Linked DNA regions of Cricetulus griseus. The protein of the gene in region 2 interacts with the protein of the main gene of each other region in a pairwise test. Links are inferred from orthologs where the notes say so. Each region holds a gene or a part of one and is shown on either strand. Other genes may lie near its edges.

What was found. The genes of interacting proteins can lie anywhere in the genome.
Region 1: the proteins of Anxa11 (region 2) and Pdcd6 interact in binary tests that used the Homo sapiens proteins (3 or more experiments, as listed by UniProt). The link is inferred for Cricetulus griseus from reciprocal best matches to the Homo sapiens genes ANXA11 and PDCD6.

The regions. Positions count from the first base shown.
Region 1 is NC_048595.1:368,964,675-368,969,050, reverse strand, and holds the start of Pdcd6 (programmed cell death protein 6), read left to right. Parts: upstream 1-1,456; 5' UTR 1,457-1,540; coding exon 1,541-1,641; intron 1,642-2,292; coding exon 2,293-2,354; intron 2,355-4,376. UniProt on the Homo sapiens protein: Calcium sensor that plays a key role in processes such as endoplasmic reticulum (ER)-Golgi vesicular transport, endosomal biogenesis or membrane repair.
Region 2 is NW_023276807.1:193,951,060-193,954,704, forward strand, and holds part of Anxa11 (annexin A11), read right to left. Parts: intron 2,728-3,645; 5' UTR 2,720-2,727; coding exon 2,665-2,719; intron 1,651-2,664; coding exon 1,538-1,650; intron 1-1,537. UniProt on the Homo sapiens protein: Binds specifically to calcyclin in a calcium-dependent manner. Required for midbody formation and completion of the terminal phase of cytokinesis.

The DNA.
Region 1 (4,376 bases), on a different chromosome or scaffold from region 2:
GGCCTGGTTAGGAGGAAACTGAACCTGAGATAGGGTAAGAAGATAGATGATGGTGCCTAGAAGACAGCTGTCTGTAAGCTGTTGGAGAAGGTGATCTCCTTGGGACTGGACCTTTACAACATTCCAAGCTGGAGACTTGTTAGTAAACAACAAGTAAAGTCCCAGGTTCTGTAGGTAGGGGCCTCCAGTCTGCAGAAGTAACAGCTTCTAGCTGAAGTTTGTACTAGAAAATTCCAAGATCAAGTAGCAAAATTATGGTTGTCAATACTTTATTTCTGGAAAAGAGAAAAGGAGCCAGAGATAGGACAGATTAAAAATGGATTTCAGAATCTAAATAAAACAAGTGAGATTGGAACAGTTTATGAGAAATTTAAAAAAAATGAATTCACTAAATCATGGAAGAAAATCCACCTTAAAGAACTTAGTAGATTTTGAGGTAAATCCCAAAACTATGAGATAGTTTCTTTGAAGAATCTGAAAATCTCATGGACAAGAACAAGAAAAATGGGACAGAAAAGGATACAGTTGGGAGGTAATCAGATCTAGAGCTGTGCTAAATAATGGATGGTTGTCCACATGGAAGAACGGTTCAGATGTACGAGGCCAATCTTTTCAGCCTTAGCAAGTAAACTAAAAACCCACAAAGATAGCAGTTATGATGATAAGTCAATCTTCACTGGATGAGGAATAGGAAAGCTGGAATAACCCTATGGCAGACCTGGAAAAACTGTAGTATCTTAAACTGTACACAGCACACAGATCTGTGACAGCATGTTAATGTGAACATGACAGGTTGATAGTTGTCCCAGTGCTGTGCATTCCCCCAATTCAGGGGCATTCCACTATAAAAACATCATAGAATTAGTATCCAGAATGAAGGAAGGCATATAGGAGTTAGCACCAAAAGTGTTTATCTAAGTACAGAAGTCCAAGTAGCAGTCACAGACAAATGAAGCTCTCACCTCAAGACCAAACCTTACAGGGGCCATTCACAAATGAAGTCACTGTGTAAACCCAGGGAGGCTGAGGTTCAACCGATATAAGCAAGTGGGAAGACGGGAGGGTGAAATACGGACAGATGGACAGACTCCAGGGTACATAAAATGTCACTTTGAGTTTCCGCCGAGAACTTCACGAGGTTGGTGCACATCACATTTGCACCAATACTTATCTATGCAGGCATAACGGGAGGTCATCAACTCAAGTGAAATTTTCACCACTTCCCACCCCAGCCAGGTCTAGGCAGTTGTGTAACCTTGAGTTGGCGCTGGGAGGTCTGCTCCCTTTGGAACTCATCCTGCACCTGGGCTGGGAAAGAGGGCGGGGCAGGAGCCGACGCCTCTAGCTTGAATAGGAGGCCCCGCCCAGATTAGTTGCACCGCCCTCCAGACGTTGCATGGCAACTGACCACGCCTGCCAAGTGACTCAAAGGCACGCGCTTCCGTTGTTCCCAGGAAGTTGTGGGCTCCTGGTCTTGCCCCGGACGGAGGCGGAAGCACCGCGTTTGGAGCTGGTTCGCTTTACCGGTGTGCATCAGCCCATGGCGGCCTACTCCTACCGCCCAGGCCCGGGCGCCGGCCCCGGCCCTTCTGCTGGAGCTGCGCTGCCAGACCAGAGCTTCCTGTGGAACGTCTTCCAGCGGTGAGGCCGGCGCTGCCCGGCTGCCCCGGCCCTTGGGCGGGCCCTCGGTTTCCAGGGCCTACTCGCCGGTTCTCTCCTGCCTTCTTTCCCTCTGACCTCCCTCGTAACCCTTCCTACTACCCTGTATCCCCGGCTTCCTCTCGTCGACAGTGGCACAAGGCTCAGAGTCGTGTTGGCACTTGGTTTTGCTCAGGGCTGGGGGGCGCGGAGCAGCCGCCCCACAGGGTCTGGTGTGCTTGCTTTAGGAACGGGGAAAAAATCTTGAGTAAGGAAAACAGCATCAGAAAAAAAAAAAAAAAAAAGAACTGGTTACTACTGCAGCTTCTTTTGTCCCTGGCCGTCCTTCTGAATTGCCTGACTGTCACTCCACTGATTCGTAGCCAAGGAATGACTGACTTATTTGACTTAGAGAATCCTTACCTAATATGAAAAATGTGAACTGGTGCAGGTGTAGATTTAGACGGACTTGAAGAACTAAGGAAAAGTGTTCCTTAACCTCTGGCACACCTGGGGGCATGTGACATACCAGCTGAGCTGAGAGAAAGGTCTGGCTAGAGTAACGTTCCAGACCTAATGTAGATTTGATAGAAATGATGTTTTAGCCACTTTTATTTTTCATCACCAACTTACTCGGTCTTTTTTATTTTGTAGGGTTGATAAAGACAGGAGTGGAGTGATTTCAGACAATGAGCTTCAGCAAGCATTATCCAATGGTGAGTTGAAGCCTGATCCATTCACAGTAAGCAGTTTCTCTCCTGGAATTTCCAAGGAGGTCCTGCCAGTACCAGTATAAGGAAAAGGTGTTTCTAAGCTGCCGTGTCCACATTTTCTTGATCATCATTATTGTTGCCTCACCAAGCTCCAAAACAAATGTATATGAGCCTCAGAAAATGCTTTCTGAGAAATGGGAGCTACAGAATAGGCCTCAGGGGAGAGGCTAGTCCCTTAGTCATCTAGAAGGCCTTTGACCTACTTGGGTAAATCAATCTTAGCAACCCCTCTGAGGAGGATTTTCAGGGACACTGAAACATTGTCTGGTGACATTAGGAAGTAATTGTTTAGTTGTTGAACGGTTTCAAGATGGTCATTAAGTACTTTTGTGGAAATAGGTTTGTTGGAAGCTAAAACTCTGGGGCCAATTTAGGAACTAGACATATGGCAAGTGCTGTCAGCAGGATCATAGAGAAGTTTCCTCACTATAAATGTGAGGAAACTGTCCCAGCAGAATCAAGAAGATTGTGGCCTTTGTATGGAGCTCTCCATGGAGTCATGTTTTTGCTGGTGTCAGTATTATTAATCTTTAGTTGTAACCATTACAGATGGATTTTTTTTATATATATAAAAAATTATCACCAGGCAGTCAGTGGTCGCACACACCTTTAATCCCAGAACTCAGGAGGCAGATGCAGGCAGATCTCTGAGTTCGAGACCAGCCTGATCTACAGGAGCTAGTTCCAGGACAGCCTCCAAAGCCACAGAGAAACCCTCTCTCAAAAAACAAAAACAATTGTTTAATCCTGGCAGTGGTGGCGCACACCTTTAATCCCAGTACACGGGAGGCAGAGGCAAGCGATCTCTGTGGCTTCAAGGCCAGCCTGGTCTGCAGAGCGAGTATTAGGACAGCTACGGCTACACAGAGAAACCCGTCTTGGAAAAAAAAATAATTTTAAGATGTATTTATTTGTGTGAATGTTTTAGCTGCTTGTATGTATGTGAATCAAGTGTATGTATGTCTGCTGCCCACAGAGGATAGAAGAGGGCATCTGATCCACTGAAACTGGAGTTACAGATGGTTGTGAGCTATCATGTAGTTGCTGAGAATCAAACCTGGGTCTTCTGCAATGGCAGCAAGTGCTCTAAACCTCTGAACTCTTTCTCCAGCCCCAAGATCTCTCTCTCTTCCCTACCCTTCCCCTCCCCCTCCCTCTCTCTTCCCCTCTCCATCTCTTTCTCCCCTTCTCCCTCCTTCCCTCCCTCCCTTTCTCTTTCTTTGGCAGTCTTGTGTGTTCTAGGCTAGTCTGGAACTTCTATGTAGCCAAGGATGACTTTGAACTTGCATATCCTCTTGTCTGTAACTCCTGAATACTGAGTGCTGATTTATTCCATACTGAAAATAGAACCTAGAACTAAATGCACAGTGGGCAAGCACCTTACCAGACAAAGTATATCCATAATCCTAGAGACGTTTTTCTTATTAAATGTCATTAGTAATTCTTAAGGTGTGGCTGTCTTTTCTTTTTTTTCTTTTTTTTTCCGTTTTTTTGTTTTTGTTTTTCGAGACAGGGTTTCTCTGTGTAGCTTTGGCACTCGCTCTAGAGACCAGGCTGGCCTCGAACTCACAGAGATCTGCCTGCCTCTGCCTCTGCCTCCCAAGAGCTGGGATTAAAGGCATTCGCCACCAACGCCTGGCATGATGAAAATTTTAAAAAGCTTATTTTTGTTATAAAAGGAATCATTTTCCAGGCTGCAGAGATGGCTCAGTGGTTAAGAGCACAGACTGCTCTTCAGGAGGACGTGGGTTCAATTCCCAGCACCCACATGGCAGCTCATAACTGTCTAACTCCAGTTCCAGGGGATCCCACACCCATGGCAAAGCACCAATGCACATAAAATTACAAATAGATAGATAGATAGATAGATAGATAGATAGATAGATAGATAGATAGATAGATAGATAGATAGATAGGTAACAAAAGAAGGGAATCATTTTCCTGTAATTGATTAGACAAAGGGAC
Region 2 (3,645 bases):
CCTTACTTCCCCTCTTCAACCAGCAAGACCTACTCCTTACTGTCCCCAAGCTCATCAGGCCCATGGCTACCTCAAGAACTGGCTGTCCCTGGATATTCACATAGCACATTTCTCTACTATGTCAGATCTTTGTTCAAGGCCCCTTTTCATTTCCCACCGTAAGGCCTTTGGTCTACATTGCCACACAGCACTTCTAACCATTTAACCATATTGCTATTATCCACTCTACCCCCTCCACCCTGTGAAAGGGATCGGACCTAAGGTCTCATACATTACAGGCAAGCACGCTACCACTGACCTCATATCCCCATCTCTCCTTTTACTTCTTATTTTGAGACAATGACTCTCTAAGTTGCCCAGGCTGGCCATGAACTCACCCTGTAACTCAAATGGGCCATGAACTTGGGATCCTCCTACTTCGGCCTTCCACTAAGTTAAGATCATATGCCTATGCCACCCGGGTCATGTATCTACTTCTCTTATCTTCCTTACTCTCTTCTCTCCCTCTCCCCCACTCTCTGCCCTTTCTTTGACTCTACTGTTTTGAGACAGGTTCTCTCTATGTTTCCCAGGCTGGGCTGGAATTTTCAGTCCTCATGAATTCACTTACTGAATCCTAAGTGTATGCCACAATGCCCAGAAACACCTGTCACTTTTCAATATTGCATCTGGTAACTTATTTTCTGTCTCCTCTCCATAGATGCTAAGTGTATCTGGGCTGAGATTTCTATGTGTACAGGTGCACGTGGAGGCAAAGGTCACATGCTGTCTACCTTGTTTGAGACAGCATCTATTACTGGCCCTGGGATCACTGACTAGTCATTAAGTTCAATGGATCTGCCTTTCTCCACCTCCCTGGCACTGGGATTACAAGGGCCACACCTGGCTTTTCCCCCCGCATGGGTCCTGGGATTTGAACTCTGGGTCTGAGGCTGATATAGTAAGCACTTTACCACCTGGACTATCTCCCCAGCCCAGAGATTTTGTTTGCTGTATTCACATATTCCCAGGGCCCAGGAATGGGCCAAGCATAAATTTGGATGTCTACCAGTTGCACTGTTTCTACTAAGGGCACATTTGTTTTCTGATTATAAGACACACTCTTCTAAAAGCAAAACAACAAATAAAAACAGCCTAACCTACCTAACCTGACTGCTACATGGCCACCAAGTACCAACTGGAACAGCATCTGTATGTGTACCTCTCCACACATACCCTCCCTTCCCTCCAGGATTTGTGCTCAGCTTATCAAACATTCTCAATAAATTTTCCTGCAGGTACCAGCCTTACCCAACCTCCCAGGGCCTCGATGATCTGAGAAGACCATTGCTCCAAGAATCTCTTCCCCACATATAGATGGGGAAAGTGGTGCCTGGAGAGGGGTGGTAAGATGACCCTCATAGTCTAAGTTGCTGCTCAGCACTCCATGCTCACAGAGACAAGCATGAGGTATCTCTGGAGCCTAGAGGTCAGTAGCCTTGATCCCTAGAGCTCTGCGGCCACTAGCCCAGGGCACCTTGGCAGGGGCCTGACTCACCATGCCTGAGAGGTAGTCCTGGTTGAACTGCCCTGCATAGTTGGCCACATTATCCAGCCCGATTGGGGGCATGCTGGGAGGAGGGTAGCCAGCACCTCCCCAGGGACCACCACCTGAAAGCAACACCAAGCTCATCAGCTTGCATCCCTAGCCCAAGAAAGGGCAGAAAGGAAGGCTTCATAACAGCAGGGCTTCAAGGCAATGTTATGAATACCCAGAAAGATGGAGCAAGGTCAGGGGAAGGAGAGGAGCTTTCCCTTACTCCAGGGAAGAAGGCAGGCTGGGCCCTCTGTGGGGATCCGGGCATGCTTTGTCCTCTAAAACCCAGCATCACAGGATGAGAGAAAGATACACCCTGAGCATGTGACAGCAGTGAGTTCCATGAATGCTAAGAATTCTCAGATGGAGGGAAATGGGGCCATGCCAGAGGACATGGACACCATAAAAGACAGTAGCAAGGAGCTGGTTGGCTGTGTGTCCTGAGGCAAGACTCAACCACTCTCATTCATGTTTGCAGACAGCTAGAGATGATGACAAGTAGGATCTCAGACTGGTGAGGTAAAGGCTGAGGAGTGGATATCTGTGTGGGGCTGAGTCAGCAACATGGCCAGTGCCTGCCAGAAGCATTCTCACCCAGGGCAGTCCAAGTCTGCTCTGTAGCCTCTGGGCTTTGTAATACCTGGAGCATGCTATCACAGGTGGCAGAGTTTCTGCTGGAGAAGGGACTGCTTCAGAAGGAAGATAAGCTGTGCTGCTTCTGGCCATGTGGGTGGTCTCATTTTATCACCAAGGCTCTTGGAAGCCACAGGGAGGGGCAGCCAGGGAGGGACATTGAATCGACCCTTGGCATAGGCCTCACTGGGAGAGAATTCAAAATCATACTCCTTGAAACAGGGTAGGTGGCTAGAAGCAGCACTTTGGAGAACACCCCTACAGGCTGTCACTGCCTATCTTGTTAGTAGTGGGTACAGCCAGGGAAGTGTAAGAACCTTGAAGCTACTCTGCAAAGGAGTGTACCAGGCCTTTGTCCATATGTCAGCTAATAAGGCCCTCCCAGAACCAGCCAAAGCCAGGCCTCTCAGTTCCGGTCCCAGTGGGTGCAGAGGATCCACCATAGGTCCTCTTACCTGGAGCAGCTGGAGGGTAGCCACCAGCAGGTGGGGGGTAGCCTGGGTAGCTCATAGTTGACTCTGGAAAAGAAGGGAAAGTGTATTGAGATCATGCTGAGGTGAGGATGCTCCCCACCAGGTCCCTTGGGATCTGCTTCTTAGGAACACAACCTACTGCCAAGCCCTTACCAGAGGGATTAGCTTCCTGGGCTCCAGTGCAATCCAGTCCACACCTCCCTACGGGGCCTCCAGTTAGTAGGTCAGGCCCACCCAAGGATACTGGAGGGTGCAACCGCACAAGCCAGCTACTGGTTCCTCGACAGCTGCTCCCCCAAGCCTGGTTTCTGTCTCCACCAACAAGGGTACCAAGTGTTTGCTGTCTGGTGTGCTCTGACACCGTATTCTAGATAGAGCATTGCCTCAGACTCCATGTCTACTTGTCTCATCTTCCTTGTCCTTATCACTATCCCTCCCACAACAGAGGAGCACCCCATCTACAACTCTCAAGCCTGCAACAGCAACCCCCCTCCCTCAGGAATCAGACCCAACCTGCAAGTTCAGACCAGCTGCTGCTGCAGTCTTTAAATGGCTGATCTATGTATGTCTCTCCTGGGCATTCCATTCTCTAACACAAAACAACATAGTTATGTGGGAATCATCATTCTTAGAGCCAAGAGATGCCCTCAGAAGGGCCTGTCTGCTACAGAGCCCTGAATCAGTGCAGGTATTAAAGCCCAAAGAAAAGTAAGAGAGTTACAATGAGATGAGGCAGAAAGGGAAGCAGAGGGAACACCTGCTCTCACAGTCCTCTGTACACAGGTCTTTGGCAACACCTCATGTCAATTAAAATGCCCAGGAGGAACAGAGATCAAACACTGCCCTGCAACCTGCTTGCTCTTGCCACATAATAGCTGCTGCTGCTACTGCAGTAAGTGCAAAGGTCTAAGCCAAAGCCGGGTAAGGAAATTCGTGGCCGCCACAGTCATGTCCACAGGGTCT